2 linked regions of the Oryzias latipes genome follow. Each later gene encodes a partner of the first gene's protein in a complex. Links are inferred from orthologs where the notes say so. Each region holds a gene or a part of one and is shown on either strand. Other genes may lie near its edges. The genes, in order: naa50 and naa15.

Region 1 (4,483 bases):
GCGCCGATATCGGTACAAAACCGACTAAAGTATTGCGTCTCGGTGCAAAGCCGATATAAAAAGCTGCTTTTCTCCACATCAGAATCGGCCAATTCATGTCGATCAGGTAAACGGTCCAAGATTTAAGGTATGTCACAGAGCATGTTATTTAGGCGTCACCACAACAAATCTAGCGTTAAGAGTTAAATTATCAAAACAAGACATTAACTACTTTTAAATTTCTTCTATTTTTTTTCTGTATGCATCAGAATTTTCTTTAATAAGAAAAGCACTTTTTTAAAATTATCCAACTGTAATTTTTTGGGATTCTGTTCAGGAGTTGAACTGAGGTCTTAGAGAGATAAAAAGGATTTCTAGCTGGTTGTTGTATAGAAATATTTGCTAAACTGGATTGCTTTTTGCTTATTTATAGCTTAACTGCTGAGCTAACTTTGCCTCCAATCCTTTTTTAAATATTGTATTTTTATATTTCTAATTGTCAAAACTGAATTAGATGCATTCGTTTACCATTATCTTAATTTATAATTGTTTAAACAAAGGCAAAAGCAAAGAAAATATCAAAATATGATGTTAAAAATACCATGTCAAGTCCATTGACTATTTAAGAATCCAATAACTTGCTTGTACCCTTACAACAACAACAACATCTGTGCTTTAATTTCCAATGCAGAGCATAAATGTTATGAAGGATGTAAAACAGTGCCGATTTTTAAAGATGAATCCACATCCATCTTTGAAACAACCTGTAGGTTGTTTCAAATGCCCAATAATTAATTGGTTTTCCTTAATTTTTTTAATGATTTCATGTTGGCAAATTCAGTCATACATTTTGAAATTCTTATCTAAGGATAAGTGATAAATTCTTATCACTTATCCTATACTCTAGTTGCATCATGCTCCACATGATCCGTTTAAAATAAACTTCAGCAATGACTTGATGTTGTTTTAAGTTCTGAGTTGTGTTAAGTTACTACATGAGTCATCTCTCACCTAGCTTTGCAAGCTCTCCAACTTCCAGAACATCTTTGTAAAACTTGTCGTTGTAGCTGACAGGGAAGATGACTTGATTCAGCCGTTTCAACTGCTTAATGTTGTGAGGCGTAACGTCCCCCAACTCGATCCGGCTACTGGAACAAGAGCAAAACGGTCAAATCACAGACAAACAGGACAACTAAGCTAAACAAGCTACAAAATTAGATCAACTGAATAAGTTACGTAGTTTAAAAGTTATACTGTTTAGAATGCTGGACAAATAAAGAGGCTTTGGTAAAATAAGTACATACCGTATATTATTTTATGTACATTATAAAAATGCAATTTTTGACTCACCAAAGCCAAAAATGGCTTTTATTAAAGTAATTTATTTTATATTATACAAAGCCAAAAAAATATCAATAAAGAAATAATTCCAATTTAATTAATGAAGTTTCATCCCTATTCAGTTTAAAGGATAAAATATGTAATACTTTTTTTTCAACTTTTTTTACCACTTGATCAAAAGCCTGTATTTTAACAAAAAGTACAAAAGTTAAATGTTTCCTTACTACAACAAAAAATGGTAAAATACTGAAATTGAAGTTAAAAAAAAAGAACTGATTTGCGCAACAACTGAACACAAAGAAATCACTCTTCATTCAACATTTCCTCATTATTTCCTCTATTTTTTGGCATTCGATGCATTCATATTTTACATTATTTAAACAAAGGTAAATGCAAAAGCAAAGAAAATACTAAAATATCATGGAAAAAATACTAAGTCAAATAGAATATTTGTCATGAACGTCTACTGATTATTCACAGCTTTAAGAATTACAAAAATATTTCCAAAAGAAAATGTTTTAAAATAATATTTTCCATCTAAAAAGAGAAACCATGTTAAACTTTAAAAGCTTCAGCGTTACTAAGATTAAAATAAATTAATTTTATGTTCAAAACTTACATTAAAAGAAAAAATAGTCCTAATACAAAAGTCAACTTGACCTTTTGATGCGTTTCAAGAAGTATAAATAGGACAGCCAAGTGTCCACAAACAGCGGACAGACACGTGTGTTGCATTTCCAAGTACTATGTACAGTAACGTCTGAGTCTGAAATGCGTATTATTACTCAACTACGTATAAATTGAGAAGGTATCCAGACGCACATTTTCAAAAAACGCAGAGTGCTGCTGCATAACTGGCGGCGGTACTTTGACAGATCCAGTTGAGCCAAGCTCCTAAAGTTGCTGTTATGGCTGCTATGCTATCATTATGAACTTTTGACACAAAGCACAGACATGGGCTTATTTATCACGATAATGGTTGAATAATTAAAAGAAATTATACACAACGTAATTAAATTAAATGTATTCACAAGCACAACCAGAGATATCCTTGGTATATCTACTAAGGTTAGCTAAACTGAGTTTACTGACTCAGCTCAGTACTAGCAGCTAGCTGGTTAGCTTAGCTTTTAAGCCACAAATGAGCCGAAAGCGGCGAGGAGCAAAAGTAACAGTACTGACAGTGTTTTTCAAGTATAAATTTTTTTCTTCAATATATATAAACTTTTAGATAAATACGAAAATTAAGTAGCTTGGCACAATAACTAGCCCCGTCGTCCCCTCATCTTCTCCCCAACACAGTCAAGAAACTTTAGTCGTGCTAGTATTGCTACGCTACATTTTTGTGACCTAAAATACTACACTCACCCTTTCATTTTAAACAAATGGTGTCCCCTATTTTCGAGTAAGGTCTATCGTTCAGTCAGGTATAAGCTATGTCTATTAAAAGAGTTGGTATTCGGGATGCCTCCCGTTTTACTCTCCACATGTAGCTAGTTGCGGCAATTAAAGTTAGCTTAACCGCCACACTTCTACCACGATTGTGAGCGTCAACTCTGACCCCCGCATGCGCACAAACGCCATTATGCAGACTCAATAATTTTTCCTGAATTTTGCCTTTCAGGATTATAGTTGGTTTCTGTCATAAAAGATGTGTCAATGAGCCTGAGTAAATGAATAGTTGATTTGAGTTAAGTAATCAATAACGGTTTACGTAGACAAACTGGATTAAGCATCGTTAATGTTATTTCAACACGACTCACATGAGTAGATGGTCAATGATCTACGATAGTTGACTGACTACCTGTCGATACATGTTTCTTTAAACAAACGGCACGAAATATCGCATAAATAATTTAATTAATATGAAAACGTTTTATTTCAAGTTCAATTGCATACTTTTTCTTTTATCTCGATTTCTTTTTATTTTAAAAATATTTTTTTATCCTGTCTGTACATTGTGTCCCATTGTTTGTTTATTTTCTGTACATTGACTTATTGTTGATTGCCATTATTAATTTATTTTTTAAAGTTCTTATGTTGCAATAAAAAGAATGAAAAAAGTTACACTTTGTGGTTTCAGCCTAAACTGTATTTAAATTATTATTTTATCTTTTATTTTGTTTTTAATTATACTTATCTGTTTACCTTAAAAGGTTGTATTATACTGCTTTTCCGAACTTGCATTTGTTCTGGTATAATTCTATTAGTTCTATATTTTAGAAGCTAAATTAAGTCTTCTTTTAATGACAAAAAATATCCCAATGTTTTCAAAATCTCCATATTTTCTTTTTTTTAACTAAAACTTAATTAAGACTCATTTTTAAATTACCACGACGATTACACAAACAATATCAAGTGGGTTCGCAACATTTGTGGTGTGGTCGATCACTCTCTCTAACGATCTTTGCAGAAATCCCTGGGTAGACCCAAAATGGCGGCAGTTGCAAGGGCCCAGCAGTAAAACTGAAGCTGCGCGAGTGAATGAAGTCAGCTGACCTCAGCCTCCTGTCACGCACCGCACAATCTTGCGTTTTCTCGTTCGAGGAAAGACAGGGAACGGACACCTTACGACCAGACGGTAGGACCATTTATTATCCCACCGTGTTTAGTTGTTTTTAACGGCGATTTGCTCGCGAGCTGGAAATGAAAAGCGCTTACTTAGCAAGCTTTCTTGTGTTGCGGTAAAAATTATTGCAATTTCGGAACCAGGCCGAATGAACAGTCGTTTCCACGAAACAGACTTCCCTTCCCAGCCATCTTACGTTTTCTACATTGTGATGGATAAATGTTTAATTCCAGAAATGTAAATATACGCGCGATTTAGCAACAATAAATCAATATTAACTTAAGCTAGCTAGTTTTTCAATGTCAAAGAAATCTCTCTTAGCATTGACACTAGTATCGGTACAAATCCGTAGCTATCTTAATCGGACTGCCAACCTCACTCATCTGTCGTTACGTCTTCCTTAACGGTATTAAAGGTTTTGTCTTTTAAAAACAACATTCCTCATATATCTTATCTGGGCTCACGGGGTCTGCAGTTAGCATCAGCCCGTCAGGGGGGTTTGCTTGGTCATCTCACGAACATGCAACATTTTTTGTTGTTGCTTGTTTTTGTTCTCAGGGCATCTGCTGCCTCTCAAACCAGATTAGGAACCTC
Region 2 (4,469 bases), on another chromosome or scaffold:
TTAATTTACCAGGGATGGGTCTTTTTGCTACAAAGTTCTGTCTTGTCTTGCTTTGCTTTGTTTTTAAATTCAGGCAATGATTTATTGTTTATTAATTGACTCTGGTTTTGGATCAGAGGTTGTCTTCTGGGCAAAGCCTTACCAAAATCATCAATTTTTTTTATTTATTAACGAGATTTCTCTAAAGAAAATAGCATTTGATTGCTGAAAGCATGGTGTTTTGTAATCAGTCTGCAGCTGTTCTTACCACAGAAGCTGCTTTCTCGCTTTGGGAACAGCTTAGGTTTTAATTCCCTTAAATAACCCTGAAACTAAATCAATAACCTTGTTCCCATTTGGAGTTTGGGACCTATAAGCCACCCCAGACTGTTTTACTCCAGCCAAATTGAAGTACTACAAAAGATGTCTTATATTTGAAAGCATTTTCACCCCTTCACACTCGTACGTTCGCTTTTTCTAGTCTACAAGTGGGTGCATGAAAATGGAGTGGAGAGGGGAGCTTGTGGCCCTCCCAGCAGATTTTTTAAGTCACTAATAGGCTTTTTTTAAGATGTTTTCATCTGCCCCTGATTCACAATGATTTGAATAAAGAAATACTCATGAATGAAAAATTTGAACTTCATTTTTTTTTTGTCCTTGATCAACAGAAAACTGAACAGGTTAAAAACACCAAAAACAAACTTTTTTACGAAGTGGGTCTTTTTTGGTTAATAACGGGGTGTTCCTCAAAGGAGTCTTAAATACATATAGTACTATTGCACTAAAGTATAGTAACATGTTAATGACTTATGTAGCCTTAATTAGGAGAATATGAAACAGTATATGAATAAAATATTTTTTTTTAAACTGAAGGAGTACCGACTCAAATATATCCACAAATATCAGGTCAGGAAGACACATTGTGGTCTTGGTATTTTCTTTTTTTAATGTATACTAGCCTTTTATTATTATTATTATTATTATTGTTGTTATCTTAACAATTTTAGCACTTTTTCAAAATAGTAAAGTCTTGATTTTAATGACAGATGCACATCGTAGCTGTTTTAAATTAGTCGAGTTTTAATTTCTTGTTTTAATGACAAATGATTTGTGATTTTTATTATTTGCTTATTATTTAGGTTTGTGTTTTTTACTGACCGACTACTGTAATGCATTGCTTTTTTAGCTTCAAAATAACAAGCGGTAATTTTTAGTGTGGGTGTTTTTTTTTTGTTTTGTTTTTTAGTCAATGATGCACTGACCTTGGGAGTTTAAAATTAGTTGTACAGGAGTAAAATGATGCAGTATAAAAGTATGTATGTCGTGGTTATCAAGGTTTCGTACATAACTTAACGGTTAACGATAACGTACCGTTATAATCACAACAAAATTTATTTTAAAAAGGTTTTTAAGTGTTCAAATTAAAAGTAGTTTAATCTTTTTCATTGTTGTTATTTTATTTTGAAAGGGACTTCTCTCAAACGTGAGGCGGAAGTGGAAGAGGAGAGAAAACAGAGCAATCGAGCGGGGCGGGTGAGCCGGGGCCACCGTCGCTCAATTCGTCTGGACTGCTCGAGCTAACTTTAGCTACATGTGCTGAGGTCGAAGGGGAAGCCGATCCCGACTGCAACGATGCCCTCGGTTACTTTACCGCCCAAGGAGAACGCTCTCTTTAAGAGGATTCTGGTGAGTGCATGTTCAGGGAGGCGCCGAACAACAGCAGCCGAGTGGAAAGGTCCACCAACGGGGGCAGTCCGCGGAGCTCTCCGGTGGTTGGTTAGCATCGCTCTGTTAGCAACATGGCATCATTGAATGGGTTAGCCACCAAAGGCCTTGATGTGCGCTGTCACCGCAACGCCAAAATGGTTGATCGTGACCCTGTTGATGGTTTTCGGAAAGTGTTGTTGGTGCAATTAAAACACATTTTAGCTTAAATTAAAAACCTGCTGCACCATAAGGACTAGAATAGCCGAGAAACGTTTGACAGCCCCCCACGCTTGCCTTGGCTTGACACGCACCACAAACAGCAAGGTGTCGCGAACCGCCTTGGAAGCTAACTCGTTAGCTAAATAACAGTCGTGCGCGCTGGTAGAGTTAGCCTTCGCTTTTCCCGATTCTACAAGTTAGCTTGACGAAGCTTTTACCGTCATTTTAGCTTATTTTTGAGCGATTGCTGAGCGTGTCCACCCGGGTACTTTTTGTGCTGGAAGATTGTCAAGCTAACGCTTTCTTGTCAGTTTGCGTCACTTAATCGGCTAACGCCATCCAACCTGGTCATCTTGTTTTAGCGGACTTCAGGTGAATGAATGTCAGTCCGGGTGTGTTTCTACCGCGTGGCGTCGGTGAAATGACTTGAGTGGAGTTTTTATTTGCCTAAAACGCGCATAAACGGGGATAAAAGTTTGGGAGGGGGGAAAAAAAAGAGCACGCGGAAAAGAGCCGCGTGAGGGTGTCAGCAAATCTGTTGCTGCTTCAGGCCTGCCGTGCTTCTGCTCTGCCGATCCCCCTCTCCATGAGTCCCCCTGTGGCTTCCGGCAGTTTGCACCGGGGTTTTCAACCTGCACCTTTTTTATTTTGTGAGGATCATCTGAACTAATACAGGAGCTGATGGTTAATTAAAGTTTATTTGAGACTTGAAGTGGAACCTTTTTAATAGGTGAGCCTTCTGCACGGTCCTGTTCTGTTTCTAACATAGAAGCTGGAGACACGTGCATTTTATAGTGAATGTTTCACTCATTCACTCAGAAAAAGCATGCTTTTTACTGTATGTTAGCTTTATTTATATAATCTAAATGCATTTATGCAAACTGGCAGCTGCCCAGCCTCTGGATGGATGAGGGGCTGAGCAGGTGAGTTAGTTCCTCCGGCCCTGTGACTGCTGGAATCTGGGTCAGATAATCCGCATCCTTTCATTTGTATTTCAGCGGCAGAGCCCCTCTATTAACACTGAAGACAATGCCAAATCAAGCAGACAGCCAGCTGGCTGCCAGACTGTGCAGCTCTCTGGATGCTCCAGACACAGATTACCCTTGTGCGGCATGTCAGGATTTTATCAACATGTTATTTATAGGCTTTTTTTAAAGCCACAGAGACCTTTTTTTCTACTTATTTTATATTAGGAGATCATTTTTTATTCAACCTTTAATCCAGATTTTTTTGTAAGCAAAAATATAAGAGATTGTCATCACTTTAAAATGAATGTTTTAGTCAAGTAACATCCTCTTTTTGGCCTTGTGAAATGCAAACATCCCTCATTTGTTTGACTCATTCTGTAAAATTTAAAGTCATTCCTGACAAAAAGAGGAAACGACACCTTTAGCGATTATAGGTAAATGAATGTGAAGGATATCAATATTGATTACTTTTTTGGTGTGAAAACTCTTTTTTTTTTTATGAATTTAAAATTATTGGATTAATAAAATTCTTATCAACGAATTGAAGTATAACCTTTCTAAGCAGCGACCGTCACATTTCAACCTTTTCCCGCAGGATTTTATTTATTGCTAACTGTCCCCAAACTTTGCTTCTTTCGACAGCGATGTTACGAGCACAAACAGTACAGAAATGGGCTGAAGTTCTGCAAACAAATCCTCTCCAACCCCAAGTTTGCTGAGCATGGAGGTAGGCAACTAATGTGTGGAGGGATGGAGAAATATCCCCCCTTTTTGTGCTCATCCTTCAATGTCGTATCTTTTTTTTTTTTTTTTTTTGCTGCAGAGACGCTGGCAATGAAGGGCTTGACCCTGAATTGTCTTGGAAAGAAAGAAGAGGCGTACGAGTTGGTGAGAAGAGGTCTGCGTAACGACCTCCGGAGCCACGTCTGTATCCTTTCGTGTTTCGCAGCGGGAATCGTGTTCTGATGTTGTTGAGCAGGACGATTTAGCCCAAAAGAAAAAAGCAACAAGACCTCAAGAGGCCACACATAATGCATAAGAGCTCTTCTCACTGTGAAGCACCATCAGCACCTCCTCCCTGTGTTGCTCTCTGATGGAGGCTGCAGGAAATCTGTGCACATTTGCTGAATACTAGTGTCTCCTTAGCCAAAGCCCTGCCCTGAAGTCAACGCTGTGTTTTTCTTGGATTCAACTCTCGTGTCCCTTTTTTCTGCGACAGTTTTTGAGTCCCCTTAGTAGGTATGATTGAACCTGTGGACTGCATGCTCCTTAACCGTGACCCAGGCTGGCACGTGTACGGTCTGCTGCAGCGCTCGGACAAGAAATACGAAGAGGCCATCAAGTGTTATCGCAATGCTCTGAAGTGGGACAAGGACAACCTGCAGATCCTCAGAGACCTGTCCCTGCTGCAGATCCAGATGAGAGACCTGGAGGGCTACAGGGTGAGGAGCGACTGAGGGTCATGTGGTCTGTGGGTGGTTTCTGCGTGATCAAACTTCAAGGATGTGGTAAAGATTTGGCGACAGGATGTGTGAAACAAACTTGTATTTCTGAAACCGTTTCTCCTGGGCCACCATGTGGAGATCAGCTGGCAAA

What was found.
Region 2: the proteins of naa50 (region 1) and naa15 are in contact, whole or in part, in a cryo-EM structure (PDB 6PPL), measured with the Homo sapiens proteins. The link is inferred for Oryzias latipes from reciprocal best matches to the Homo sapiens genes NAA50 and NAA15. Residues at the interface, in NP_079422.1 of Homo sapiens: Arg5, His14, Asn15, Lys17, Gln18, Arg21, Leu22, Val25, Phe51, Asn52, Ile54, Ala55, Leu80, Pro82, Tyr83, Leu86; in NP_476516.1 of Homo sapiens: Pro369, Pro370, Thr371, Leu374, Ser403, Thr404, Pro405, Thr406, Leu407, Ile408, Phe411, Glu433, Ala436, Leu437, Asp438, Thr439, Ala440.

Annotation. Positions count from the first base shown.
Region 1 is NC_019878.2:17,678,648-17,683,130, forward strand, and holds the start of naa50 (N-alpha-acetyltransferase 50), read right to left. Parts: upstream 2,877-4,483; 5' UTR 2,697-2,876; coding exon 2,689-2,696; intron 1,128-2,688; coding exon 991-1,127; intron 1-990. UniProt on the Homo sapiens protein: N-alpha-acetyltransferase that acetylates the N-terminus of proteins that retain their initiating methionine. Has a broad substrate specificity: able to acetylate the initiator methionine of most peptides, except for those with a proline in second position.
Region 2 is NC_019859.2:5,608,051-5,612,519, forward strand, and holds the start of naa15 (N-alpha-acetyltransferase 15, NatA auxiliary subunit), read left to right. Parts: upstream 1-1,500; 5' UTR 1,501-1,611; coding exon 1,612-1,665; intron 1,666-3,515; coding exon 3,516-3,600; intron 3,601-3,696; coding exon 3,697-3,801; intron 3,802-4,157; coding exon 4,158-4,315; intron 4,316-4,469. UniProt on the Homo sapiens protein: Auxillary subunit of N-terminal acetyltransferase complexes which display alpha (N-terminal) acetyltransferase (NAT) activity. The NAT activity may be important for vascular, hematopoietic and neuronal growth and development.